Linked DNA regions of Coturnix japonica. The protein of the gene in region 6 interacts with the protein of the main gene of each other region in a pairwise test. Links are inferred from orthologs where the notes say so. Each region holds a gene or a part of one and is shown on either strand. Other genes may lie near its edges.

Evidence for each region.
Region 1: the proteins of GOLGA2 (region 6) and FAM124B interact in binary tests that used the Homo sapiens proteins (3 or more experiments, as listed by UniProt). The two-hybrid records come from large-scale screens. The link is inferred for Coturnix japonica from reciprocal best matches to the Homo sapiens genes GOLGA2 and FAM124B.
Region 2: the proteins of GOLGA2 (region 6) and KIAA1217 interact in binary tests that used the Homo sapiens proteins (3 or more experiments, as listed by UniProt). The two-hybrid records come from large-scale screens. The link is inferred for Coturnix japonica from reciprocal best matches to the Homo sapiens genes GOLGA2 and KIAA1217.
Region 3: the proteins of GOLGA2 (region 6) and SNW1 interact in binary tests that used the Homo sapiens proteins (3 or more experiments, as listed by UniProt). The two-hybrid records come from large-scale screens. The link is inferred for Coturnix japonica from reciprocal best matches to the Homo sapiens genes GOLGA2 and SNW1.
Region 4: the proteins of GOLGA2 (region 6) and RAB2A interact in binary tests that used the Homo sapiens proteins (3 or more experiments, as listed by UniProt). The link is inferred for Coturnix japonica from reciprocal best matches to the Homo sapiens genes GOLGA2 and RAB2A.
Region 5: the proteins of GOLGA2 (region 6) and CDC73 interact in binary tests that used the Homo sapiens proteins (3 or more experiments, as listed by UniProt). The two-hybrid records come from large-scale screens. The link is inferred for Coturnix japonica from reciprocal best matches to the Homo sapiens genes GOLGA2 and CDC73.
Region 7: the proteins of GOLGA2 (region 6) and INPP5J interact in binary tests that used the Homo sapiens proteins (3 or more experiments, as listed by UniProt). The two-hybrid records come from large-scale screens. The link is inferred for Coturnix japonica from reciprocal best matches to the Homo sapiens genes GOLGA2 and INPP5J.

The regions. Positions count from the first base shown.
Region 1 is NC_029524.1:6,954,916-6,959,538, reverse strand, and holds the start of FAM124B (protein FAM124B), read left to right. Parts: upstream 1-1,416; 5' UTR 1,417-2,109; coding exon 2,110-2,841; intron 2,842-3,578; coding exon 3,579-4,130; 3' UTR 4,131-4,623.
Region 2 is NC_029517.1:15,320,026-15,322,806, reverse strand, and holds the end of KIAA1217 (sickle tail protein homolog), read left to right. Parts: exon of another isoform or gene 1-26; intron 27-488; coding exon 489-983; 3' UTR 984-2,075; downstream 2,076-2,781. UniProt on the Homo sapiens protein: Required for normal development of intervertebral disks.
Region 3 is NC_029520.1:35,702,748-35,707,322, reverse strand, and holds the start of SNW1 (SNW domain-containing protein 1), read left to right. Parts: upstream 1-1,489; 5' UTR 1,490-1,594; coding exon 1,595-1,608; intron 1,609-2,173; coding exon 2,174-2,327; intron 2,328-4,325; coding exon 4,326-4,487; intron 4,488-4,575. UniProt on the Homo sapiens protein: Involved in pre-mRNA splicing as component of the spliceosome. As a component of the minor spliceosome, involved in the splicing of U12-type introns in pre-mRNAs.
Region 4 is NC_029517.1:102,067,050-102,071,700, forward strand, and holds the start of RAB2A (ras-related protein Rab-2A), read left to right. Parts: upstream 1-1,427; 5' UTR 1,428-1,725; coding exon 1,726-1,771; intron 1,772-4,651.
Region 5 is NC_029523.1:3,292,506-3,296,554, reverse strand, and holds part of CDC73 (parafibromin), read left to right. Parts: intron 1-1,505; coding exon 1,506-1,667; intron 1,668-3,509; coding exon 3,510-3,610; intron 3,611-4,049.
Region 6 is NC_029532.1:3,735,364-3,739,846, reverse strand, and holds the start of GOLGA2 (golgin subfamily A member 2), read right to left. Parts: upstream 3,035-4,483; 5' UTR 2,946-3,034; coding exon 2,682-2,945; intron 1,354-2,681; coding exon 1,231-1,353; intron 912-1,230; coding exon 831-911; intron 1-830. Other genes in the region: DNA repair protein SWI5 homolog, read left to right, coding at 3,223-3,234, 3,289-3,395, 4,099-4,193, 4,462-4,483. UniProt on the Homo sapiens protein: Peripheral membrane component of the cis-Golgi stack that acts as a membrane skeleton that maintains the structure of the Golgi apparatus, and as a vesicle thether that facilitates vesicle fusion to the Golgi membrane.
Region 7 is NC_029530.1:8,880,875-8,883,722, forward strand, and holds the end of INPP5J (phosphatidylinositol 4,5-bisphosphate 5-phosphatase A), read left to right. Parts: intron 1-38; coding exon 39-176; intron 177-384; coding exon 385-477; intron 478-611; coding exon 612-716; intron 717-839; coding exon 840-1,460; 3' UTR 1,461-1,883; downstream 1,884-2,848. Other genes in the region: PLA2G3 (group 3 secretory phospholipase A2), read right to left, coding at 2,372-2,561, 2,639-2,767. UniProt on the Homo sapiens protein: Inositol 5-phosphatase, which converts inositol 1,4,5-trisphosphate to inositol 1,4-bisphosphate.

The DNA.
Region 1 (4,623 bases), on a different chromosome or scaffold from region 6:
GCTGATAGATCCCTGCCAGATCCTTTTTACTAGCTGGTTAAAAAGGAGAACTAAGGGACTACTTGGGAGAGAAGTCCCCTGTCGTAAGTGCAGTAGGTCAGACTGCTGGGGTTTTACTTTCCTCAGAACTGATGAATTTGGAGGCACGGTGCTTGGGGCAGGAGGCAGGCTGCAAAGCTTATTGTGCTCAAGTAGGGCCCTACTTCTGCTTTTTGTCTGAGTGCTGCTGTCGATGGCTGTCATTGGCCTTGGTGCAGGAAGAAATTGAAATCGGCAGGAAAAAAAAATGTCTTGAAGGCTAACGAGCCCAAGACAGTGCCGGGATTTAATGAGGGCTGCTTCTGTGATGCTGAGGTAATTCAGGCACCCTCCTGGAAGTTAATTACCGATGGTCTGCAATGCCTGAACCTTTGCCGTGTTGCTTCATTACAGAAGTTACAATGAATTTATTAAATCCTGCGGTGCGTCATCAGTCCTTGGGTGTCAGCTGGAGTGAAGGGCTCAGCACCTCAGGGCTGGGAGCAATCAAAGAGCTCATTATGGAAAGGAGTTATAATTCTGCTGTGCCCTTGCACTACAAGCCTTGAAACACATCACAGACCATATTCTGAGCCTCACACAATACAGTACTTGTTGGCTGTTTGCACTGGGCATTTATTTATGCTGGGCTTACTGATGTTCTATATTGGTGGTCAGTACGTCCCTCACGTGCTCTTACTCAGGTCAGCAATGCACAGCATGCCGTACCCTGTGCTGTGCTGCATGTTGCTGCTGTGTGTGGATGGTGTTCCGGGGCATTGTGGGAGCGCAGGCTGATTTTTCACATAGGGCTGAGCTGCTGTTCTCCTAATCTCTTACAGCAATCTTTCTTGGCATGCTGGGTAGGTCACAGTGAATAATGTGCTTTTCCGCTTGGCAGCCAGACTGGAAAGCTGGGGGAAGGGGAAGCAGAGGGAAAGTCAGGAGCTGCTCACATTTAGGGCAGCCTGCCTCTTTGTACCCTTCCCTGTAGCAAAGAGTTGATGAATCGCTTCCTTTTTCGGTGTTTCAGTAATACTCTGTGTTGTTCAGAGCTCATTTACAGCGCTGTAATGTTTTGAACACTCGCAGCCTTCGCTCTTCCTGTGATTGTCCAAGGGTTGGATGTTTTTGTCTCTGTCCCAACAGTTACTACTTGTTGGAAGTGCTGCAGCTATCTTTCTTAAGACCTTACATTACTTTGGTCTCATGACTGTATTTCTATTACTGAGTGTGATCTTTAAATAAAAGAAACGTGAAGCTCAGGTCCCTGTACCGTTAAACCCTGGAGATTTTCTTCAGGTGCATATAAAGCTAGGGCTGTATTTAATTAAAGGAGTTGGGGGGGGGGAGGAATAGTTCAAGTCCAGTGTTCTGGATAGCAGACCCCTGACCCTTGCACAGCAACTTGGGGTGGGCTGAGCAGCAAACTGCTGCCCCATGAGGTGCACAGCCCCGAGCCCAGGCTCCTCCTGCAGTGCCTGGGCCTGATTCATATTGGCCCTCATTGTTATCTCTCCTGTTCACATGTTTTTTTTTTTTCCTCTTTGTTAGCCTGCTTTCCTTCCTTGTTTTTAAAGAATAGCTTATCTGTGTGCCCCAGAAGGGTGTGACTTGGGGAGATCACAGCAAGCTGAAGTTCAGCAGCTGACTGCAGGAACACACGCTGAGGTTTTCACACACGGCGAGCACCCGGAGATATATGAGATGTGTGCAATTGGGAGAGCGACTGCACTCCTGCTTCAGCCCCCCAGCACCCTGCTCAAGGACAGTCACTGCACCACAACAGCGCCTCAGCGCATGTGCTGTGTGCACCTGGTGACCAGCTCTGGGTCACATTGCTGGGCCAGAACGTGCATCTGAGCTCTGATATGACGTGAGCAAACCAGAGCTGGTCCCATCACACCGTGGCACGCTTTCCTGCCTCGTGTGCGTGTGTGCAACCCTGTCACCTCATTGGGTTGTTGCAAAGCTTCTGAGTGATCAAGTTCTTTTTCTACCTCAGAGTGCAGTGCCTGTGCTGCTGCCACTCCGAACACTGCAGGAGGAAACTGGTTTTCGGTTTGGTTTTGTTTGTTGAAGAGGAGCTTTATGATGGGTGACAGAGCAGAGCCTCTGATGACTGTGCATCTTCTGGCCAACTCAGGATACTCGGCGTTCCTGCAGCAAGCTCTGGATCGTCTCATGGATTGGATCTGCCCAGATGTTCCACTTTTCTTTGTGTCCGAGCGAGCTGCTCCACTGAAATACTACGAGAGGTATCGCAGGAGGAACTGCGGCTTTCCTGGGATATCTGTCCTCCTTTTTCTGCATGAGGACCTGGGAGAAGAGCGGATCCTCCAGATCCAGGATCTCCTCCAGCGCCCACCCTGGCACCACCAGTGTGTCCCTACCACCTGGGCACGAAGCCCTCCCCACACACCAGCTCTGCAGGACTTTTATGGCTTGGATGACCAGATGCCGGTGTGGGGCATCCGGCGGGTGGGCTGCAGCCCCGAAATCCTGCGTGTGACCCTCTACTTCAGCTTTGATAACTACGACGATGCAGTGGGGCTGTACGAGATGATCCTACGGAAAGAAGCAACCACACGGAAAAGCAATTTCTGTGTCTTCATGCTCTATGCCACTAAAGCTATTGCGGTCCAGCTCTGCCTGAAGCAGCTGCCCATTGGGATGGCTGCTGAGCCCAAGGAGTCGTCGCTTTTGCAGTTCAAGGTGCAAGAAATGGGGCAGCTGGTGCCTCTCCTGCCCAATCCATGCGTTCCTATCAGCAGCACCAGGTGGCAAACACAGGACTACGAAGGAAATAAAATTCTGCTTCAGGTATGTGTGTGCACGGTGCTTGCAGACCAGATGCCTTTTGGGTTTTTCTATTCCAACAAAGAGCAGGACTGATTCAAAATGGAAATGAAGGTTTTGCTTGTCCGTATTTCGTTTTTAATTCATGAACTCAGCAACCAACTTCCAGTGCTACGATGTCATTGATAAATGTGAGCACGGATCCTTAGAATGCTTCCATATTGTTAGCACCCGAAGTAGAAGGTATTAGTTCTTTTTCGAGCCACTGAATTCACCTTTTTCCCTTTCCAGCCTGTTCTCTTTCTGATGCAACCTTATAAATGCTCCAGAAAGCAGAGTTTTAGCCCCGTACCATCCCAAACCAGGTGTTTTGCAAGTACAGCGCTGATGCAACATCACCCATGGTAGTTTTGTAATTGCAGTTGGGCAAAAGGGCTAAATAAATGCCATGGGAAAGCCGCCCCCTTTCTGTTGTGCTATGCAGCCCTGAGAGCATGCGAGCACAAATCAAACCAGGCTAAGATGGTGCTGAGGAGGTGGTGCTCACTGTGATTGTACGTGGGAGCAGGAGGGAAGTTCATCTGTGTGCTCTTTGCTTTGTAACAGCTCCTCACACCTCTGGCTTCCTTGGTTGCTATTTGGATATTTTTATTATTATTTGGATATTTAAATCATTTCAATGTATGTTCGATTTTCTTTATTTTCCTTTCTTGGTGAGGAAGTTCTTCTTTAAGGAAGTTCTCTCCACCTTTTCTCAACAGGTGCAGGACAGCTCCAAGCAGAGGGAAACAAGCTCTGTGCTTCCCAACCGGCGCAGTGCTGTTGCTGTGGATGGACTGCTGCACAGCCCTATTGCAGCCCCTCTCCCCACTCTGTGCAGCGCTGAGCAGGGAGGCCAGCAGGGCTGGGCCCTGAGGGGCAGGGTGACACCCGTGCCAGGCCATGCCCTCCCCATGCAGCAGCCCAATGGGAGCCTCTCTGGCTCTTCTCGGGGCACCACGATGCTCTCCCGCCATGTGCCCATGAGCAGCAGGCAGCAGAAGGGCTGGCCATGCCGGCCAGCAGCAGAAACCAACGTGGACACGGGGCTGGCTGTGGGCAGAACTGTGGGCTGTCACTGCTCACTGCAGCACAACCTTGTGCAGCCATGGGTGCTGAGTACGGCCTGCACCGCCTCGCACTGTGCACAGCCACCATCTGCTGTGGCCAACAGGAGGAAAGCAGCGGGACACGGGGCTCCAGGCTCCCGTGTGCAAACACGGAGAGACAGCCCTGGGACCAGGCCTGAGGAGGAAGAGGAGTTCTTCATATGACTGGAAACAAGCACATGGCAGGCTCCTCATTTGAGTGCTATCAACGTGATTTTGTCTGCAAGCACAGCAGCTGGGCTGTGTGTGGGGCGATGGAAACCTTGAGTGGGTCTGAAACAACAGAAGATGTGAGGCTGTGGGATCAAAGGACCTGCTGAAGAGCAAACAGGGCAGGAGAAAGAAATGAAGCCATGCAGGATGCAAGGATGTTGAAATGATGTGAGCTGCTGCTGGTGGGGTGCAGGCAGCACGTGATTTGTGATCTGCTTATTTCACTGGATGCTTAACAAAGAAACTCAAACTTTACACCCGCGTTTTCCTATGATCTATAAAGGTAGTGCTTTCCAGAGAGGTTTGGTGAGCTGGGAGGGCAGTGTAGCAGAGCACAGTGACTGTGCTGCAGCAGTGGACGAGGAGAACGGGTGTGGAAGCCTGGGGTCATCAGTCTGGTTGTGGGAGTGGGATTCCTGGGACGAGTGGCTTTAAACAGGCACTT
Region 2 (2,781 bases), on a different chromosome or scaffold from region 6:
TAAAACACCTGCTGCTTTTTGTTGGGTTTTGTTTCGTTCCGTTTTGTTTGTTAACCCGTGGTACTCAGCTGTAACGTCGAGATGTCAACTACCTGTTTACTTTCCCTTCGGTCAATGCGGGTTCCTTAGGTCGACCGTGCCTGCACGGAGCCCCGGGCACTAACCTGGGGGTGCTCTGGGGGTGCACATTAACCCTCCCATCGGACATGTCTGCTCACCCATGAATAACCCCGGAGCATGGCCACGTAGTGAATGCTCTGTAATAAACCGTAGGTCGCGCCTTCTCCTATCCGTGCGCTCTCTATCTCTGCGTTCTTTGTTGTGTACTTTGGGTTTTCTACCAGGTCCAGTCCTTTATGGCTGCCAAGACTTATCTCAGGCCTCGAGCTGTTAGCTCTTGCTCTCTGTAGGGCTGTTCTCCCAGGTCCTGTTGATTTGTCGTATTACTGGCTTTCTGACAAACTGTCTCCTGCCGTCTTTATTTGCAGGCTAATGGAAGTGCTAAGAAAGCTGGTGGGGACTATAAGGCTACTTCCCCCACCCTCCCTGCTTCTAAGATCCCTGCCTTTTCTCCCACTTCTGGGAAAAGCAGCTCTGCCCCCGCTCCCAGCAGTGACGGCCCTAACCCCCTTACCCCATCCGCAAAGCCCTCCGTGCCCCCCTCTGGCCTCCTCGGGCCCCAGGCAGGCCGCATGGCGTACTCGGCCTCCCTGATCCCCTCTGTCGCTAATGGCTCCTCCAAGTTCCAGAGCCCACCCTACGCCGCGAAGGGCCACCAGCTCTCCTTCTCGCTGCAGACTCAGAACGGCCGCCCGCCCCCTCCTTCCTCCTCCACCTCCCCCCCATCCTCCACCTCTCCCACCTCACTGAACCAAGGTGTGAAGAGCATCAGGACCATCCACACTCCCAGCTTCACCAGCTACAAGGCGCAGAATGGAAATGCCGGCAAGTCCGCCTCCCCCGCGGCCAAGGAGCCGGCCTAGAGGCTGCGTGCTGGATTGCCACTCCTTCCCTGCAGCCACTGTTCTAACCAGGGAGCATAACCATTTTGCTGTATCGCTGGAGGCTTAATACTAACCATGTGCTAAATACTGAGTTACTACACTAGAGTAGAGTGAAGCTTTTTTGTAAACCTGTTGCTGTTGTCATGATAGAAGAGCGTTTTCCCTCTGTAGGCAGCACCTCATGGTGGTGGTGTGTGGGTGTGAGCCGGGCGCTGAGCATGGCTACACGTGTGGCTGGCGTTTAGTAAGAGGTTTTGTATAAAGCTATTTTTCATTACGGGGACTAGACATGAACAGAGATAGATATACTGCAGTGTGATTATACACAACTGTAAAACTGAAATATTCCTCTTTTATTTTGGTGTTATTTAGCTTTGTTACAGATTTCTATTTTTGTCAACCAATGCCACGGTTCGTTTCGAGATCTTTTTGCCAAAATATTTTGATATTATCCTATAATGTACATTTGAAAGCAGTATGCTGGACAGTAAACCTCTGCACCACAGACAGACAGAACAAGACTGGTCTCAGTGCACAGGAGGCAACTCAACCTATTGCACTGCCGTTCAGAGTCTATTTAAGAATTCACCAAGCAGAGAAAAAAACCCACAAATAATAGTTTGACACACACAGGGAGTTGCCGATGATTATTTTCTTTCTTTCTGAGCTAAATTCACCCTCCTCCTTCAGCTTTCTTTTACTGGGACCTGGTAACCCATCGATGTACTGCATTGTGGATTTTAAAATGTACACTTCTGTACTGTTCTGTATACTGGCAAACTTTTTGTACATACCTATAAATAGATATAAATAAATAAATGCTGTATGTGGCTGGGCACTTGGCGTAGTTTGACCACACCAAAGTTAATTTTTATGCATGCTTTCAAAATATCTATGGGGCAGGGCTGAAACAGGTGGGTCACGGTCACACAGGAGGAAAAGCAGCAAGTTTGCAGAGCTCATGGTTTTGTAAATAAATTTATTGTATAACAAACACCCTGATGTAATATACAGAACTATGATAAGCAAAGATCTTTACAGAAATAAAGGGCTGCATGCTTATGTTTTCTACTTTGTCACTAATATTTTTTCTGGTGGTCACAAGCAGGGCTGTTTGTTTGCCTTAAAGAAAGAGGGAAACTACCAGGAAAAAAACAAAAACAAAAACAAAAACAAAAAAAAAACCGCTACCCTGATTTTCCCCAGGTTAAAGCCATAAGTAAGGATCAGTTTCAAAATGGAGTCTTTTTAATTAACTCAGACAAGAGTGAATTGCTTGGCTGCCGGGTTGGTTAAAAAGGCAGCAAGAAAAAAGGGGAGCACCAGAGTCTTGGGACTGATGAAATGAGGGATGGTCTGACCTCCCTGCTCTGCTTTGTTCCTTACAGGGGAGCAAGAGTTTTCTTGAAACTCATTTCAAGGCTGAGCCCTCAGAGGGTGCATCCCTTGCAGTGGAAACAACTCAGTATGCAAACATCAACTCGTACCTCACTGACAGGAACAGACTCGTGTTCTGGCAGTGCTTGTGCTGGTCCCCTGTGAAGGGGACATTTCTGCAGGCTGAGAGCCCAGCACTGTCCAGGAGCTGCAAAGCCAAATCGAAGCGCAGCACAACTCACAGCACTCTGAGTGTGGTGCTGGGCTCCAGCCATCTCCCAGCCTCTGCAGGACAGCTGTGGGCCCAAATCCATCTGACTCCCTGCTGAGTGGCAGCTCTCCCCACCTGCTTCAAAACTCACCAGTAAGGTGACACAATTAAGGCAGCAGCTTCTTAGAC
Region 3 (4,575 bases), on a different chromosome or scaffold from region 6:
GTGGAAAGTGCTGAAGTAGATTAAAAAAAAAAAAAAAAAAGATGGAGAGGATTTAATAGCCTAAATCTACCCCAAAAGACTCCTTGGAATGCACCAGAAATACACATTAAAGGAAGTGTTCTCAAAACCAGCTGTGGTATTCACATGAAACTAAAAATGTCCCCACTGACAGCAAAGCCAAGGATGAAGTGCCTCAACACTTTACTCACCATCCAGATTATTTTGGTCAACTTGTAGAAATTGATGCACGTGGAGATCTGATAGCATTCCTGCCCAGGAATGCTAAGCAAAAAAAGATAATGGTAAAAGAAAAATGAATGAATCTTTCTTTCCTAAGGATACATATCGGGATACATATCCTTGGGAAAAAAAATGGGTTTAAGGATCTCAGATCCATCCCTTGCTTATTGTTTCTTCTTATCAAAGAAGAATTCACCAGAGCTGGTATATCTGAATTATTACTAAGTCTGGTGCACACAAAGCCCAGAACAAACTAGGGGATACATGAAGATACATGGAAATGATCAGCTCACAGAGCTGGGAGTTTTCCAGGACAACACATTCTGTACTTAACCTCCGCTCCCACTTCACAGAATCACAGCATCACAGAATCGTAGGGGCTGGAAGAAACCTCCAGAGATCATCAAGTCCAACCCCCCTGCCAAAGCAGGTTCCCTACACCACGTCACACAAGTAGGTATTCAGGCGGGTCTTGAATATCTCCAGAGAAGGAGACTCCACCACCTCCCTGGGCAGCCTGTTCCAGTGCTCCGTCACCTGCACTATAAAGTTCTTGTGCCCATCCATGTGTAACTTCCTATGCTCCAGTTTCTGGCCGTTTCTCCTTGTCCTGTTTCCACACACTGCTGAAAAGAGTCTGGCCTCGCCGCTTTGCCTCCCACACCTCAGGTATTTATAGACCTGGATCAAGTCCCCTCTCAGTCTTCTTTTCTCAAGGCTAAACAGTTTGCTTAGTCTCTCCTCATAGGGGAGATGCTCCAGGCCCTTCACCATCTTTGTGGCCCTCCGCTGGACTCTTTCCGAGAGATCCCTGTCTTTTTTGTACTGGGGAGCCCAGAACTGGACACAGTCTTCCAGATCATGGTCTGTTTGAGTTTGTGTTTGCCTTACAGGTTGTGTTGCAAAACAGACCCCAAAGCTGTGTGTTTCCCACACAGCAGTAGATGATACATCACAGCACAGGAAGAAGTAGGAACTGCAGGAGGGAGAACAAGTCATTCCTCAGCTCCAGATAGGAACAGGGCTCCTGACCGGGAGCAGCGCTGTCACACAACACCAAGTCTGCTGAGAAATGACTGACAGGAAACGGTAGGAGAGATGGCAGATGAGCTCTGCTCGTGACAATTATTGATAAGCGATACATGTCAAAGTCTCGTATCCTCGGCTTTGTCTGCAGAGCTCCCAGTTGCCCTGGACACAAGGTGACATCTCAGTCACCAAGGCCATCGCCCATCGCTGTGACGCTGTGCCTACAACTCCCAGCTGCCCGCTGCGGCGCACGCGCATCGAGGCGCTCGTCCTTCCCTGTGCCCCCCCCCATCCCGCGGCCTAACTCCGAGTCGGCAGCGGCAAGATGGCGCTCACCAGGTGCGTCCCTCTGTCCCCCCGCTCCGTCCTCGTCGCTGTTGGTGTCTGGGGAAGCGCTGGGTGCTCGGCCCGGCGAGCGGCCCCTCCTGGGTGCGGGCCCACGGTCGCTGAGCAGCCCGGGGTGCGGTGTGCTGAGGGCCGGGCCTGCGGGAGCTGCCTGCGCTGCTCGCTTTGTGCGGCCTAGAGCGCGATGGGGCCTCCGCACCGCTGCGTGCTGCGGGGAGCTAACGCGGGTTTTGTGAGGGGAAGGATTGGTGCTGGTGGGATACCTGGTCGCTTTCCGGCTTTTCCTTCCCGTGAGGGATGTCTTTGTTACGAGCTGCTGCTCCGAGAGCGCGGCTCCGCGGCCTGCCCGGCTGTACCGAGCGGGGACGTGAACGCCGCCCGGCAGCGCGGGGGTGGCGGTGTGCAGTGCGCCGGGTCCGGACGGGGGAGTTGGAGTGTGTGGCTTTAGACCGGGGGTGTCCGGCTGGGGAGAACCACTCACGGGTTCGTCTGTGGGAATTCGCCTTTTTCAGAGCTGTTTTTTTATGTGTCTTTTTGGTGCCTGTCTGGGGACGTGCAGTTTTTTGCCAGCTCCAACCCAGTTGTCCCAAGACCAGCTCGAGCTAGAAGAAAGAGCGAGGGCGCAGAGATCCAGGCAGACTGCTCTGGTCTCATCACGAAGGGAGCCTCCCCCATACGGCTACCGGAAAGGATGGATACCGCGGACGTTAGAGGTAGGTGTTTAAACTCACCATATTATATTAGTACATCTGTGTTAGTGGGTAAAGTGTGTCTTTCCAGAGTAGAGTCAAACTATGAAGTTTCTTGAGATAATCACAGAGAATCGTGCAGGTTTACATGCAGAATTTCCAAGTTTCTTGTCATGGTAACGTGGGAATACGACTGTGGTCCTTTCTGTTTAAGGTCTGAATGTAGTGACCCTCTGAGAATGACACCCATACCAACCCTCTGTCATTATTTGTTAAATACATATCTGGATTAGAGGTGAAATAAGTAGATGGGTGTATAGCAGAGAAGAGAATACTTCTCATGTGTACTGTGTTCTTAAGGTAGCAAAAGGTAACTGCTCTTGGGGGGTGTTAAGTGATAGAAACTTGTTAGATGTGGGAGTGCTAGATAAGGTGACTTAAAGCAGTAGTTCCAGTGGTTCTCTAAAGTAAAATACTTTTATGGAATTTCAGCATTTAATAAAGGATGTGGTATTAAAATTTATAGTTCAGCTTTCTCCTTACAGTGCTCATTACTAAAGCTACTGTTCGAGTGCTTGTTCTAAATGCTGTGGGGGGGGGGGAACCTGACTTAACTTAGTTCTATTGGTTTCCAGTATCACTGGGCCAGAAAATGCAGCACATCTCAAAGACTTCTAGAAGATTCCCTTTTTGCCTCATAGACAAAACCAAAGAATAGTAATTGCTTGCAAGTATAGGCTTCATCTGCTTATCTACTCATAATTGAAAAACAGCATCTATTCTTAATAGATTTGGTCATGTAGAAAAACCTGAGAGATGGCTGAATTTAGTTCTGCATTATATTTCAGCACTGATTCTGTATCTAACTGTTGAACTGGATGCGGGGCATCCAATGGAAGACTTTAAACAACCGAAGTTGAATTTCAGTGTGCACTTGAGGCAAGCATGAATATGTGCTGCTCTGGAAAGAAGTGTTCTGCCCGATGATTCCAGTCTCAGCCCATGCTGTCTGTTGTAGTGGTGTTAACTGTTTGGTCTCATGGTGAATACGTGGGGATCAAGCTACCCAAGTCACCTGGTTTGCTGTTGGGCAAAATCAAAGCCATTGCAGCATGGTGAAAGGGCACAGTAGTGTTGATTAGAGAAAATGCTTCCCCTGGGGTTTTGAAACCATAGCCTGAAATTGGTTTAGCGATTGTGTGCCAGTTCTGTTTGCATCTTCAGTACTGAGTCACAATGGTCTGCTTAAAGAGGTCTTCCATTTATTCTGCTCCTTAAATAGTTTTAAAGCAAGAAATTGAACAAGAGGAAAAGTAAACTGTTAGGAACACGAAGCTATTGGTTGCTTGTCCTGTTTTCAAGTTGTGTCAAAATAAGGAAATCGATATCTTGGCATTTGTACCATTGTAAAGCTGTGAGCTGCAGGCTTGAGAGGGCTGGAAAGCTTTATAAATTTCTTCACCTAATTATGGTAGGATAACTAAAATTACAAGAATAGCAGTTTTGTGATGAAAATCTCTAGTGGTTAATTTTTGTGTATTTCAGCGGTTGCTTTATTGCTGCAGATAAATTCTAGAAGTTGTAATTAATAACCTGCATGTGAATTAAATACTTGATCATTTACCGCCTGTCATGCTGTAGTGCCTGCACATCCAGCCAGTGATAAAAGAAGTTTCTCTGTGAAAGGAATAATTGTAGAGAGTTTCCTGCAGGATGTCTTTGTATTTCCATTTCACAAGTGTAAGCTGTAGTCAGCTGTTCTCTTACAAGCCAGAACAGTAATGCTGCTAGAGCATTTCTAGCAGTGTTTCATGTTAAAATCAGTCCACTCTTTTGTTCCATTTCCACCCATGCAAATGTTATGACCTGGTCTAGTACCTGATCTGGAGGGTGGTGGGCCCTGCCTGTGGGTTGGAACTTGATGATCCGTAGGGTCCCTCCCAACCTAAGCCTTTATACAATTCTGTAGTTATACCATGTTTTTGTCTTTCAGTCATTCTCTACCTTTTTGTGTGTGTGTAGGATTTTGGAGATGGAGGTGCTTTTCCAGAAATTCACGTGGCCCAATATCCATTGGATATGGGCCGAAAGAAGAAAATGTCCAATGCTTTGGCTGTTCAAGTGGATGCAGAAGGAAAAATAAAATACGACGCAATTGCTCGACAAGGACAATCAAAGGACAAGGTAATGCTTTTTTCTAAGACGTGGATTGTGACACACACCTGGAGAAGTCACACGTTGCATGTACTTGTGGTCATTGCTTTGGCATTAG
Region 4 (4,651 bases), on a different chromosome or scaffold from region 6:
CTGAAGTTATTACAGAGGTCAAGCAAGCACTTAGAAATACTTGTTCCAGTCTGAATTCTGTACTGGATGCAATAAATGATCCCAGCTGCAACTTTTCCTTCAGCTAACGCCTCTACCATGAAAATTATTGGGAAAGAAAACAGACCCTTTAGACACAAAATACATGAAAGCAGAGACTAATTTTCATAGAATGTGTGACAAAGTAAGAGAGTGACCAAAACTACTAAAATTAAGTGAAAGGAAAAGTAGTGTTTCATAAGAAGATATCAAATATGTAGCTATATTTGTGTAGTAACTGGATTGAAGAGATTCAGGATGAAAAATTAAATTTATATGATGCTGCAATAAAACCAAACTACATTCAGAGAGGAATCAGACAGGAGATAACACTTTGTTTTGAGGTGAGGAGGCTGGTGTTATCGATGACTGAGAATGCCTCTTTGGGACTCTACATTGCTGATAGTATTGGAAAAAGAACATAAGTACAGAGGAGGAAATAAACAGCAAGAAACAAGTCTGGCAAAGGAACACGTTTTTCATGCAGTGAAGTAGATATAATTTGTATGTAAAGGGAAGACTAGAAGAAAAAAAGCTTAATTGTATCACAGTATCACAGTCTCGTGCAGGTTGGAAGGGACCTTAGAGATCATCGAGTCCAACCCCCAGGATTCGAGCCCCTGTGTAGCAGAGCGGCACTTCTACCAACTACTACTACTTCTTTGTGTGGGAAATCAGTATCACTCAATATGGAGACAGCATTTGGGACACTGAGCAATCAGCTTTATTGAAGGTTTTTAAGAGTAAGTTAGTCACACAGCTCATAGAAGCGTCGGAAATCAGTGCTGTCCAACTTCCTGACCTGACTCATCACAAGTTAAAGTCTTTATAAAGTTAAAAGCTACCAGACTGGTACAGCCAGGAAGGCCGATCTGCGAGTCTATGAGAAGAAAATGGCTCTTCAACAGTTCCACCAATTCACACCAATTTACCAACCCAAGTTTCATCAGCCTTATCTACAGACAACAGCCCTTCCCTCAGCACCTGATGTGCGTGGAACCAGCCCAGGTGCCAAGCCAATGTGCCAGCTCAGGGGCCAAAGTCCTGGGTACACAGATTGCTCCATAGAGCAGCGCTGAATTATGAACACCTTGAAGTTTATTTCAACTCATTGGGCCTCAGTAACCCCGAGCCTGTAAAAGCTGTTCACAATTAGGGATGCCTTGCCGGCTGACTGCCTACAGCTTGATGAGGAAAGACAAAAGAACCTTTCTCAATCCAGAACTCAAACACGGTATATAAGGAAAACCAGTGTGGAGTTACACATTAGGGTTCCAGATTACTACAGAGCGGAGGGGGCGGTGCGCACCGCCGAGCTCCGCCCTTCACGCCGTCGTGAGGCGCCGCGGCTACCTCAGCACATCCGGGTCGGGGGCGGGGCCGGGCTCGGAGGTTGGTGCGTGACGTTGCCGGAGGCTCCGGGCCGCTCGGCGCCTGTTATTGTTCTCGCCCCGCGCTTCCGAACGCCGCCGCGTCCTTCCCGGGCGCCTCGGGAGAGGAGCGAGACGGAGAGAGGCCGATAGGGGCGGGAGGCGGCGGGGCTGAGGTCGGAGGGAGCGGCCGTTATAACCGTATCGAACTCTCCGCAGCGCGATCCCGGCCAGCGGGGGCGGGGGGGAAGAGCGCGCACGTCACGAAGGAGCGAGCGAGAGGCGGCAGCGGGCGGCCATGGCCTACGCGTATCTCTTCAAGTACATCATCATCGGGGACACGGGTAAGCGGACGGAGCCGGGGGCGGGCGGAGCGAGCGCGGGGCCCGGCTCCCCGTCCCCATTTCCGCAGTGCTGGCGTCGCCGACGTGGTGGCTGCGAGCGGGGAGGCGGCTCCCCGCCCCTGCGCCCGGCCCCGCCCGGGGCCTCCGCCCGCCGCGCGGCCTCGGGGCCTCGGGGCCCGCCGCCGTCTCTCCGGCGTTGCCTGCGGCATCCGGCGGGCTGGAGAGCGGCTGTCCCCGCCCGCAGGCCGCTGTGCTGTGCTGTGCCTTCCGTGAGGGCCCGGCTGCAGATGCTGGGAGGCCTGTTACGGTGTCACAGCGTGCTGCCGGAGGGAAGCGGAAAGCTTTGTCTCTTTTTCGATGTATGCGATTTTTATTTTTCGGACCGCTGGTGCTGTGTGTTGAGTCGGTCTCATCCCTTCTCTTATTTTCCTTCGTAGAAACTTGTGGTGTGATGGTTGTCAGTGCCACGTAGCAAATAACCCCGCGTACTATTGCTGCGGGCATAACCGTACACTGATTGAAACTGCTGTCTGATGCTTCTTACCCAATGTGCCATATTCCTTGCCCCGTCCTTGGAGGTGTTCAAGACCAGGTTGGACGGGGCCCTGGGCAACCTGATCTAGTAAATGTGTATGTTTGATGGCCCTGCCAGGCAGGGGGGTTGGAACTACATGATCCTTGAGGTCCCTTCCAACCCGGGTCATTCTGTGATTCTGTGCCCTTGGCACAGGGTGGATGTAGGTAGCGTGTTTCCATTCCAGCTGTTGTCAGGGGGAGGTAACTAACGTAGTTAGCTATTGTGCCTATGCATCATACATCTTCCTTGTTGTTTTCCTCATACCTGAGTAAATGCCTCCTCTAGTACATACCTTGGATGACGCAGGCATCATCTTAGATACTCTTGCAGGGATACTTCCATAATTGTACTTCATGAGCCATGTTGTAGGTAGAGTGTAATTAAACATGGCAGATGTGTTACATGTGAGGTTACTAAATATACTGGTTGCAATTACTACATTTTTAGAGGTCTTTTTCCATTTTTTTTTAAGTCTGTTTTTGAACTCTGCAGGCATTTTTTAGGCTGGTGCAGTAGAAGCTGTAGTACAAATATATGTTAAGTGAGGTATCCCAGTTTTAACTACCATTTTGGAAATGTTAGGTTTGAGATAAGTGAAAATCCAGTTGTTTTTTCTTGACTGTTTATGTGAGTGACAGTTCATTAACCCAAAGGACAGGAGAACACCTGGGCAGCTTCAGGTGAAGAAGCAAGTTTATCTTCCCAGGAGAATGCAGAATAGTAATGCCGAGTTCAGAGTGATGGCGCCTCAGAACAGGTGATCAATTGTGCTGCATTTCTAAAGCTGTGATCGCTGAAGTGGTAGGGAAGACAGCAAACAACTGCTTTGCTATATTGATTGTATGCTGATTAAATTTTTAGAATGAACTTTCTATAGTGCAGCAGTCCGTGCTGCAATTCAGTTGCATGAAATGAGAAATGCAGAATTGATGTGTGTCACTCCTGTCTCTGTTTCAGCTTCTTGAGAGCCAGTTATGGGTATAGTAAGATAGAGAAGGGAGATATGGGAAAGAAAACATGTCAGAAATTTATCTTTTGTTTGTTTTGTTGTTGGGTTTGTGGTTTATTTGGTTTTGGTGTGTTTTTTTTAGTTTCTTCGGTTTTTATTCAGAGTTGCTCTAGTGACAAGTGACAGGACAAGGGGAAATGGCCTCAAGTTGCGCCAGGGCAAGTTTAGGTTGGATATTAGGAAGAACTTCTTTACAGAAAGGGTAGTTATGTACTGGAATAGGCTCCCCAGGGAGGTGGTTGAATCGCCATCCCTGGTTGTGTTTAAGAGCCGTTTGGATGTGGTGCTCAGGGATATGATTTAGTGTAGGGTTTTTAGAGTTAGGGTACTATGGTTAGGCTGGAGTTGGACTTGATGATCTTCAAGGTCTTTTCCAACCTGGGTAATTCTATGATTCTGTGCTACAGGAAGCCAATTAAAACCAATGCAGTGATCATTTTTGAAGAAAATGAAATATGGCAGTAGCAGGAAGTTGCTTTTGCTTTCATTCAGATCTCCTATGAGTCTTTTAGAATTCTGGCATAGCTAGTACTGAAGAGACAATTCATGTTGTGCAGTTGTTTCTTGTCAAAAACACCGTGTTATTGCTACTGTAAACTCAGTCAAAGACAGTTGAACTGGTAGCTCTGATTATCACAGAATCACAGAATGACCCGGGTTGGAAGGGACCTCAAGGATCATGTAGTTCCAACCCCCCTGCCTGGCAGGGCCACCAAACATACACCTTTACTAGATCAGGTTGCCCAGGGCCCCGTCCAACCTGGCCTTGAACACCTCCAAGGATGGGGCATCCACAACCTCCCTGGGCAGCCTGTTCCAGGGCCTAACCACTCTCCTAGTGAAGAACTTCCCCCTAACATCCAACCTAAATCTTCCCTCTTTTAACTTAAAACCATTTCCCCGTGTCCTGCTATTGTCAGCCCTTTCGAAGAGTTTACTCCCCTCCTGAGTGTAAGTTCCCTTCAGGTATTGAAAGGCTGCAATGAGGTCACCCTGCAACCTTCTCTTCTCCAGGCTAAACAAACCCAACTCCCTCAGCCTGTCCTCATAGGGGAGGTGCTCCAGCCCCCGATCATCTTTGTGGCCCTCCTCTGGACCCTTTCCAAAATCCCCATGTCTTTTTTCTACTGAGGGCTCCACACCTGGTCACAGTACTCCAGATGGGGCCTCACAAGAGCCGAGTAGAGAGGGACAATCACCTCCCTATCCCTGCTGACCACCCCTCTCCTGATGGAGCCCAGGATCCCATTATAGAAATTAACAATGGATGGGGGCTATCTCGATCTGTTCCAGT
Region 5 (4,049 bases), on a different chromosome or scaffold from region 6:
GTCATCTTTTCTAGTAAGGAAAGTAAAGTATTTTTGCTAGCAGGTTTTTACATGGCAGTTTCCACATGCTGGTTTAAACAATGATATTACGTCTGTAACACTTAACCTTATTCCCCCATGAAATGCCTCTTACGTTAGCATAAGGAAGAATTTTCAAGTGAATAATGAATATTCCTTTTAGTTGACTTCCTTTCTCTCTTTTCCTAGTAATTTGAAATGCAGTCTACCTAATGTTTAAGCTTATTCAAGTTGTTTTTAGAACTGAAGTTGGAATGGATCGAAGAGAATACCTTTAGAAATGGTTCAAACAGCGTACCCTTAAATGCAGTAATCTTTTAGTATGCACCATCTGTTCTATAATGAAGAGAAATGTCGACAATATAGTACTGTGTGTTTAAAATATAGCACCAATACTCCTGATACCTTTTACAGTTAAATATGCTGCTTCTTTTAGTCAGAAGTTCGCAAACAAAATGTCAGAAGCAAACAATATTAGGAGTGCAACTGAGGGTTCTGAATAGAACATTAGGGGAGAGAAGATAGTTCTGAGCTCATGCTCTCCTTAGTCCTTTGCTGGCCTGGAAGGTGATACTGGGTCACATCAGCAAACTTTGCTGTCATGTAGTTGCACTTCTTTGAAGTGCAAGATATTTTACCCTTCCTTGTTACAATTCCACTGAGATTCATCAAGAGCCTTACGTTAATCTCACAATTTTGGGAATTGCTGTGTGTATTTTGTTTTATTACTGTTATATAGAGGAGACTCTTTAAATGAAGGTAGAAAAATCAAGGGTTGAATCTGAAGCACTTGTTTTTTTTTTTACAGAGATGGAGACATAAGGATCACATTGTCCTTATTTTGCAAACATAATTGATCTGTCAAAGAAGCTATTTAAAATAAAAGGGAAGAAAAGAAATCGTAATTGTAGTATCATACATCAGATGAATCATCTAATAGTGTGAAATCACTGTCATAAAATTAATAAGTAATAATTTAAAAAAGAGAAGGAAAAACTCACCAGAAAACTGTCCCCTGAATGTTTTTGATCCAAAATCACAGCATTCGGTGGAAAGCATAATTGTGATGTGTATGTTTGAATTCCCTGAGGACAAGAGCTACAAAATGTGCTCTAGCAAGTAATCATTTTCTTAATGCATGAGCTTCCCTATGTAGTCTTTGATACCTGAAAAGAATTGGTTAATGTCATTCAGCAGGCTGTGATTTGGCTTTTCATCTGTTAATGTATTGGGTTAGGTAGGCAAGAGATGTCATCAACATATGATGGTTGTAGTTTTGAGGGGTAGAAGACCTTTGAGTACAACTGGTTTTATTGTAAGTGCTTATGAAACTTCATCTTGATGTACCAAATGGAGTCGTGGAGGTGTAGCATAGTGAAAGTGAGGTGGCTTCAGTGACTGCAATAATACAAGGATCTGCTCAAGTTGTTATGTTCCCTGTTCTGTTGAAGTACTTTTGTCTACTGACAGTTTCTTTATTCCCCAAGGTTTGTACCATCAGATGAAAAGAAGAAACAAGGCTGTCAACGAGAGAATGAAACTCTAATACAGAGAAGGAAGGACCAGATGCAACCTGGGGGAACTACAGTCAGTGTGACTGTACCCTACCGAGTAGTAGACCAACCTCTGAAACTAATGCCTCAAGACTGGTAAGATAGATTTCCTCTTTACTAAACTTCTTCATTGGGAGAGTGCAGAACTTGAAAGGAACCAATAAAATTATATTAAGTTGCATAAAAAATAAAGATGGGATTAGAAGAATGGATTTGTCTGTTGATTCTAAGGGATTCTCGTATCCAGGTTAAATGATATGCAACTGAAATAGCGTTTTACATTTTAATGTTATGAGCAGCACAATTATGTTCAGTTTGTCTGAAATATTCCAGAAATTCAAGTAGAAATGTTGATATGACTTTTCCAGTTTCTGATACTGTAGCATGCAAGTCATTGAAGTATGATGCAAGGCAAAAATCCTTTCTCATCTTCTTTCTGACTTGAGAGTCTATAGGGAAACTGCATTTTTGCAGACATCTTCAGCATCTGATACTGTAATTTTTCTTTTCCAGCAGTCAAAAGAAATGAACCATGGGTTCAGTAGTGAATCACATAGATTGAACTGAATTACACGATGGGAGCTGAGTTCTGAAGGGAGAACCTCAGCTGCGGAAAGGGAATCAGAAATAACTTTTCCTGTTTAAAAAAAAAAAAAAGCTGCAGAAAGATTTTGTTCATAAGCCCATTCTTTGATAGTACAAAAATGTGTTTCCCTTTGAATGAAACACATTTATAACATATGTTGTATTTATTGTATATCTGTGATGCAATGAAATAGTAAACATTTCTGCTACTTCCTCGTGGGCTTAAGGATATTAGGTGTGCAGGACATCTTTGCTGATTGGTTTTTTGAACCTCCAAAGTAGATTTTAATGGGGAGGATTATTTATTCAAGAGGTTCTGTTCTGAATTCAAGTTCTTGATGCAGAGAACACTTAATCAGCAGCCAGTGGTTTTGAAATTCTGATATCAGATAGCATTCACGATGTTTAATGCTCAAACCTTAAAATACTTCTGACCAAAGAGATCAAGTGCCCTGCTTTTGGAAGTGTTTGGTTTTTTTTTTTTTTTAGTTTATCCAAGGTACCATCAAATATTAGTATCTGGATGTGTGGAAATGTTGCTGTGACTTTTCAGCTACCCATTACAAAAGCTGCAACGTGCTCTTAAATGTTAAGCTTTAGGATTGTCTCCAAGTTCATACCCCCTCCTTCCCCTTAAAAAGAAGGAAACCCACCACCAAAAAGTCAAGCACACACACAACTCTTGTTTATTCTTTGCAATTTGTGATTCAGTAAACTAAAGTTGAGAATTGGGTTAGATATGCAGTAATTTGTTACAGTAGATAGGAACCATGCTTGGATAATGCAAGTGTTCAAGAAAGCAGACCATATGTGGCAGGATGTGCATTCTGAAAGGCTTCTTAGAAAATGTAATTAATATAAAAGCTTCATCTTAACAACAAATTTATTTTCACAAACAGCAGTTAATGGTTACATAGCCTCACAACATATGACTGACTATTTAACTGGAAGAAGGAATTCAGCACTGTCTCTTGTAATAAGATTTTAGTATAGAAGTTAACAGTATGCAAAATGATGGCTTTTAAATTGCTACATCTCAGTCAGTTTACACTGTTATTCATAGAGGATTATCTCTGAACTGTTAGAGAACTTTGAAAAACCAAAGAATAATGGCCAGAAATAAACACTATTGAGATAAATGAATCTGCAGAGAGCAGAGCTGAAAGGTAATTCATGTAACTTTTCTTTTTCACTTACTTTGTAATAGAGAAAGAGTGGTTGTACGGAAGATGCAATTGTTACATGGACTTGATTGCTGTTGCTTTAAAAAGAAACAGAACCAACAAACTATGTTAAGATAGGTTTCGTGATTAAGAAAATGTATTTCTCAACATCCATCTATTATGTTCACAGGGATCGTGTGGTAGCAGTGTTTGTACAGGGTCCTGCTTGGCAGTTCAAAGGCTGGCCGTGGCTCTTGCCTGATGGATCACCTGTTGATATCTTTGCTAAGAGTAAGGCTGTTGTTGTCATTTGTATTTTACTTTCTGTTGCTCTGTTTCTTGTTTAGCAGTATGCTTACCACATGGTGAAGTGCTGCCTGAGTACTGTTGTAATGGGGCAGTTTAGAAAGCATGGTCTTGCTACCTGTGTGAATACCCAAATATGAAGTTGACTTGTGCAACTTTTCTGTTTTATGAAAGCTCATGGAAACAGCTATTGTTTTGAGAAGTAAATTGATTTTCCAAGCCTTTTAAGTGTGCAAAAAGACCACATATATGCCATGTAGAAAAACAGGTTTACAAACTCTCTTGTGATTACATATGTGTTTGAAGAGAGGAATAACCAGCTAGTATTTTAGTAAGGAAGTTTTACAAGTATGCTGTGGTGTCTTGACAAAAACTTGAATGTCTAATAAGATGTAGGTACTTCCAGTATGTGAATTATATGCTT
Region 6 (4,483 bases):
GCATTTGTTCTGATTGGAACATTCTTTTCACTTAACACTTCAAGATGCAAAAGTCAATGAGACGACCAGAAGGATGCCTTCCTTCTGCCTCCACAGTGAACAGTTTTGAAGTAAGTAATGAAATAAGGTTTGTTTATAATAAATATATATGAAATAATGAAGAGCTCACAGGAGTCCTCCTGTCAGCACAGTTAGCACCTGAACACACTTCCATTGCTCAGCAGACTCCTTCCTGCCCTTCCTCCCCCAGGAGTGAGGGAAGACACTCAAGCCTGTAAATGCAGTACTTGAAATACCCGACTTCCTGCCTAAGCACATTTAGAACTGTGGTACTTGCCAGACTGTACATCACCTGTGCAGGTTTCATCACCTGTCATAAAATGGGGCGGCTGGAATAACTAAAGGCTTGCTCAGGGCAGGCATGAGCAGAAACTCGCCCTTCAGGAGCACAGCACTGAAGTGAATAAAACAACACAGACCAGGAGAAATACACATGAATAAAGCACTACTCCTCCCTAACACAGCGTCTCTCAGCAGTTAACTTGGTTTACTGCCTCACCCCAAACTCTGTTTGCTCCTTTCTGCCTTCCAGCTCGGCTGTCTGAGGGACGTGCACTGGACATGGGTGACATATTTGCATTTTTTGACAGAAAACAGGAGGAAACAAGCACTTACAAGCGATGGAAACGCATGTTAACAAACAGCCCCGTGTTAATAAAAACAGCAGACATGCCAGAACAAGGCTCCATCTGAATTCACAGTGTAAAACATAAGTTAAGCATGCAGAGGGGACAGCGAGTCAGTGAGAGGGACACGGAGCACTGCCTCACCTTCCTTCTGTCCAATGAGGGTATGGCTACCCCATTGGAGCGGTTAAGGTCTGACACCAGCACCTTCAGAATGTTCTGAATCTAAAGGAGGCGAAAGAGAAGGGGAAAAGAGAAACGGCTCAGAAAAGGACAGAGAGAAAAACGTCCATCAAAGGCAGCCAAAGAAACGGGCATCGCCCAGCCCCCGAGGAGAGGCAGCTCGGGGTGCATCCAGGGTTGCGTTACAGCTCTGAACGCTCCAGCACTGCTCCAGCACACACCCTGACTCACAGGCTGCTAACAGGGGCTCCTCAGCCGCTCACATTACACTGTTTAACCCTCCCCCAGCTGCAGTTGTGCTGTTTGGGAAACCAAAGCTGGAGGCAGAGGGGATACGTGGGAGGAAGGGGGGGACGCTCACGTTCTCTGGAGACTGTCGGCCGTCGTTTGTGGGAGTCTCAGGCCGACTTCCTTCTTTACTCTTTCGTTTCTTCTTGGCTCCCGCAGTCGCTCCAGGGCTGTTCTTCTGCTGATACTCCTTCAGCTGCGGGGAAAGAAAAGATTAATGTGAAGTCCAAATGGAAGATGTCCTCTGTGAAGGGAATGGCAACAAGAAAATGACAACATAACCAGTGGGTAAGGAGTCAGCTGAGCTGTAAGGACAAGAGAAACCGGCCTTAAAGATGGATATACGTTAAAAATAGTTCAAAGGCTCCAAAAGGGAGAATGAGAGTGATGGGTTTGTGACAGACCGAGAGCTGTCAGTGCTGTCCAACTAAGGAAGTGCCCAGGAAACAACTTGATGCTGCAAGAAGCAACGTTTGTAAATCTGTAACCAACAGCAACGAGGGAAAAAGAACGATAACATGGGATGCAAACTGGAAAAGTGGAGTCTGATAATAAGATGGAACAAGAATGTTGAAAGAGCTTTAGGAGAACGACAGCCCTGCAGGTAACACACTGATACAGGCACAGAATCACAGAATGACCCGGGTTGGAAGGGACCTCAAGGATCATGTAGTTCCAACCCCCTGCCTGGCAGGGCCACCAAACATACACATTTACTAGATCAGGTTGCCCAGGGCCCCGTCCAACCTGGCCTTGAACACCTCCAAGGACGGGGCATCCACAACCTCCCTGGGCAGCCTGTTCCAGGGCCTCACCACTCTCCTAGTGAAGAACTTCCCCCTAAACTGCCAGCACTGCGGGGATGAGCACACTGCGATGGATGCTCAATTGGAGGCCGTTGTGCCCAGGAGAAGCTCAGAGCAGCACAAATGGCCGCAGCTCGGGGCTGTGAGCGCCCATGGAACGCGGGGCTGAGCTTAAACGTCAAGGTGAAAAGCACCGGAACGAAAAGGATCCTCGGCAGGATTTCAAAATGGAGCCCGAGCTGCTCCGGGGCACTTTCCCATTCGTTTGACTTTGACACGGGAGGGCATCGCGATGGGACGGAGCGGGCCGAGCTGTGAGAAGGTAAAAAGGGAAGAGAAAGGGGAAAAGAAAGGAGGGAAAAAGGAGAAGAAAAGAGGGAGATGGAGAGGAAACCCGAACGGGAAAGAGCGGCACACACAGAACGCAGCAGTGCAGCAACACAGGCCCGGCCCCACCGGGGCGACAAGGAGCTGCGGGACCGGGCCGGGCCTCACCGCAACGCTACGGGCACGGCACAACACGGCACAACACGGCCCCACATAGCACAACACGGCCCCACACAGCACAACACGGCCCCACACAGCACAACACGGCCCCACACAGCACAACACGGCCCCACATAGCACAACACGGCCCCACACAGCACAACACGGCCCCACATAGCACAGCACGGCCCCACACAGCACAACACGGCCCAGCACAACCCCCCGCCCTCACCTTCTTCTTGGCCGCCGCCAACTTGCTCTGCCTGCTGCCGTCCGCCATGTCCGCCCCGCTCCCGGGCCACGTCAGCCGCCGGGTGGAGCGGCGCTGTGCTCGGGCAGAGCTCCGCCCCGACACCCGCCCCGACACCCGCCCCACCCCGCGGCCTGGGCTCGGCCGGGCCCCTCCGCCCGGTCTGGGCCGTGAATGGCGGCCGGTCCCGCCCCGCTCAGTGCCCGCCCACGGCGGATGATCGCAGCCCCGCGTTCCGGTTCCCATCGTGCCGTGCTGCCGGTGCAGGCCGCGGCCCTGGCGGAGCAGAGCGGTCCCGGTTCGGGGCGCAACGCGCCGCCCCCGCAGCGCAGGTAGGAGCGGAACGGGTCGGTTCTGTTCGGTTCGGTTCTATGTGCTGACTCGGGGCTCCCCGCGCTGTTTCAGGGCTCTCGGCGGTTCCCGGCGGAGCGGTGGTGCCGGTTTCAGATCCCCGGTGAGCCGCCCATCCCGTCCCATCCCGTCCCGTTCCCCCGGCTCCTCTCGGTGCCGTTCAATAACCGCCATGACGCGCCGTGTCCCCGCAGCGCCCGGCCCCATCCCGCACAACGGGCGGAGCATCGTGCGATAGTATCGAAGAACTGAAAGAGAAGGAGCGAGCTCTGGACCGGGAGATCGCGGAGCTGCTGTCCGAGTACGGCCCCGTTACAGCCCCGTTACGGCCCCGTTATTGTCCCGGTACAGCCCCGGTACCGCGGCCATCCTAAGGGTTATGGGATCCATGCACGGCAGCAGGGAGCTCCTTCCCCGTTGTTTCCCCAGTGCTGTGTTGGTCAGGCTCTGAGCTCCCCTGCTGATGTACATTGGGAAGTAACGGGTGTGTTTCTATAGCTGATGGCAGCACACGTTGTGCTAACAGAGCTGCTGATGTATATAAGCTGAGATCTCAAGCTGAGGCCGCTGCCCAGCTGCCTGGATGAGCGTTTCCCTTGGTCTGTGTGAGGCCATGGACACTTGGTTTGAATGAGGTGGTGGGGGTTAATCATAGAGACATGAAGGCTGATAAAGAGCTCTGATCCCCACCCTGTGCCCACTGCCACGTCCCTCTATTCCACGTCCCTCTATTCCACGTCCCTCTATTCCACGTCCCTCTATTCCACGTCCCTCTATTCCACGTCCCTCTATTCCACGTCCCTCTATTCCACATCCCTCTATTCCACGTCCCTCTGTTCCACGTCCCCATGGCTCTAGAACACCTGCAGTGATAGGGGCTCCTCCATCCCTGTGCTGTACAATGCCCCACCACTCTGAGAAAGGCGTTTTTCCTGCTATCCAACCCAAAATCATTGCTCTAAACAATGATGGGTTTGACCAGGCTGGCTCTGCACACCTCAGATATTGCTTTGTTCCGCAGTGGTTTTGTTGTGTGGCTTTGTTACAGAGGGTACAATGTGGAGGAATTGGAGAAGCACATCTCTCTGCTCCATGAGTATAATGAAATTAAAGATGCTGGGCAGATGCTGCTGGGCAAACTGGGTAAGAAAACTATTGAAGAAGCTCTTGGTGAAGCAAATCTTGTTATATAAAGAGATATTGATGCCTTAAAGGCAAAGCTTGTTTCAAAGAATCCTCAGTGTTCAGCTTCCTTAACAAAACCAAGTGGGGGCACAGCTGGAAATCTTTGGTTCCTTGGCTGTGGGTGGTTCTGTGGGATACATACAGTCTACTGGGAGGAAGGCACAAGTCTTTCCTGACCTATTTGTTCTCTTCTTAATGAAAGCAATGGAATTTCTTTCTTTTCTAGCTGTTATCCGAGGGGTTACTAC
Region 7 (2,848 bases), on a different chromosome or scaffold from region 6:
CTATCTGCTCTTATTCACCATCTGCACGTCCCTGTCAGTTTCCTTACAAGGCAGACAACCCTCTGGTGGAGATCTATGTGGCTGATGAGTGGATCAGGCCTGAACAAGCAGTTGTCAAGTACAGGATGGCTGCTGGCTTCCACCGGAGCTCCTGGGACTGGATTGGCCTCTACCGGGTAGGGGCTGGGGTCATTAGCAGTGTGATGGGATCCCCTCTGTAGCTGCCCCCTCCCACCGATGCTGTTCCATGGCCTGGGTGTGGGCTCTCCCATTCTGGAATTCAGCACTTCTCTTTCTTCCACTCCGTGGGCTCCAAATGACCCGAATCTTTTGCTGGGGCTGAGAGAAGATGAAAAGCACCAGCTCACCTCCCTTCTTCTACAGGTGGGTTTTCGGCATCCCAAAGACTATGTGTCCTATGTTTGGGCCAGGAGCGATGATGGAGAGCGCTGTGTAGAGAAGCAGCTGTGTGCACAGGTGAGTCAGTGCCGTGTATGCCATGGAGTGAGGCAGCAGCAGTGTTTAGGTGGCATGGAGGGAGGCTCCAGGCCCATGTATGGGGGTGGCTGGGGGGGCAGCCCTGTGGTCAGCCTGGTGCCCATCTGCTGCAGGTGATGTTCTCAGAGGAAGCGCTGCCCAAAGGGAAGGGGGAATACATCCTCGGCTACTACAGCAACACCTCCAGCAGCATCGTGGGTGTGACAGAGCCCTTCCAGGTCAGCAGTGCCTCGAGGTGAAGGGTGGGGGGAGGGAGGTTTCAGCAGGGCAGGGTGTCCTGCTGTAGTGCCCCACAGCCCCCTGTGTGGGTCAGGGCCCAGTGCTGATGATGCGTGGTGCAGATCTCCCTGCCTAGATCCGAGGAGGGCAGCAGCCCTACGGACAGCTCGGGCAGCAGCTCAGAGGAGGAGGATGACAGCACACTTGTCCTGCTGGCCCCCAAATCCCGCAGCCCCAGCCCGGGCAAGATGAAGCGGCACCGGAGCCGCAGTCCCAGCCTGGCCAAGTTCCAGGGTCTCATCCTGCGCCCATCGAGCCGTGATCGGGGCACCAGCAGGAGCCCCTCGCCCCAGAGCCGCCGTGGCCTCACCGGGGACATCCCTGCCATCCACCTGCCCCAGTTGGAGCTGGGACGCCGTGGATCCAAAGCCAAGGAATCGGGGCAGGTGGTCAACAGCCAGGAGGGCAGCCCGGGCTCCTTCTACCAGACTGTGCAGCCATGCAGTGTCCGGCGTGCTGCTGTTGACAACCCTCTGGCCAGGGCTGACCCCAGGAATCTGGGCCTGCTGCCTGCGCTCCGCCTGGAAACCATTGACCAAGCCATGGGCCGACGGCGGGAGAGTGCAGACCAGGGCTACCCCTGCCGCAGGATGAGCCCCACCAGCCCTCCCTGCAGCACCTCCCCAAAGGAAGGGGGCAGCCCCCGGGAGTTGGATGGTTACAGCTGTACCATGGGGCGCTGAGGCTGTGCCCTCCTCCCTCCTCGCCGTAGCGCGCTTGCTGTGTGCTTTCCCGTGCCACGTCCCTGCTGTGAGCCATCCATCTCCCTTATTTATTGCAGTGAATCACCCCTGCACCCCTGCTGCGTGCCTGCCCTGCTCCTCCTGGGGCTGCAGAGGGGGCACAGGGGAGGGGGTGGTGGTGAGGGAACCCCTTGTGTGTGTCAGAGCTGTGGGACGCTCAGTCCGAGGGCAGGTGAGTGGGCCTGGGGGCTCTGGGGGGCCAGGGGCGGTGCTGCAAGTGAGGATGTGGCCCCCTCCCCCCCTGGGGCACAACACTGCTGCGGGCATCCTGCAGATGGGAGTTTGCTTCTTTCCTGCCCTTACCACTGTGCCTCGGGCTTGGACATAGTGTAAGCAACAAAATAAAGCATCCCGCCTGCCCCAGCTGCACTGTGCTTATTGCGGGGTGGGGGCCGTGGGGAATGCAGAACCCCAGCACCATGCACCGTGTCACGCTGCCCTTTATTTGCCTTGTGCCACATGCAGGCACTGACCCTCCCAAGGCACAGCACTGTGCTTCCCACCTCTAGAGCTCGGGGGGACCTGGCTCCCTCCACCACCACCCCCTGCTGCAGGGCCGGAACCTGGGGTTGGGGTCCTGGCACCGTCCTGCCCGGGGCTCCCACGGCCGCAGCATCCTCATGGGGACGGGGGGCGGTCGCTTTTCCCCGTCCCCGCTCCTTTCCCTTTGCTTTGATGGCGGCCGCAGCTCCTGGGGGTGGCAGCTGAGCCTCCTCCACCCCTCTCCTGCCCCACGCAGTCACGCCAGCAGCCACTCTCGGTGCCATCCTTTCTCTCAAGGACCCGACATTGAGCAGCTCCGCCCCGCAGCGCAGCTCCTCCCCACGCACGGTGCAGCCCACCCGCTGGGCTCAGCGGGGCTCGGGTTGTTGCGGGGCTCCCATCCCCTGTTCCAGGGCCACCCGCCGGCACCGTTCGTACAAGGCATCACCGCCGCTCTCCTGCGCGTTCCTCTCCCTTCGCTCAGCACCGCCGCGCCGCAGCGCGGTCCTCAGGTGCCGTGCGGGCAGCAGCACGGCCCGGGCTGCGGTGACACAGCTGCTGGAGGAGCAGAACAGAGCGTTACAACGAGCCAAGCTCCGCCAGCCCCGTCCCTGCCCCGGCCCCTTCGCACTCACCCGCTCGGTCGCTCCGCTCCGCACTCGGGCTGCGGTTCCAACACGAAGCAGCGCACGGCGATGCTTTCGGCCAGGAGGGGCGGCTCGGCGCCTCCGGGGCCCTTCGTCCTGCGCAGGGACCGCACCATCCTGCGGGGACAGCGGGGCAGCGCTCAGCATCCCGCCCGCTCCCACCCCCTCCAGCCCCGCTCTGTGCGATGACGGACGGAC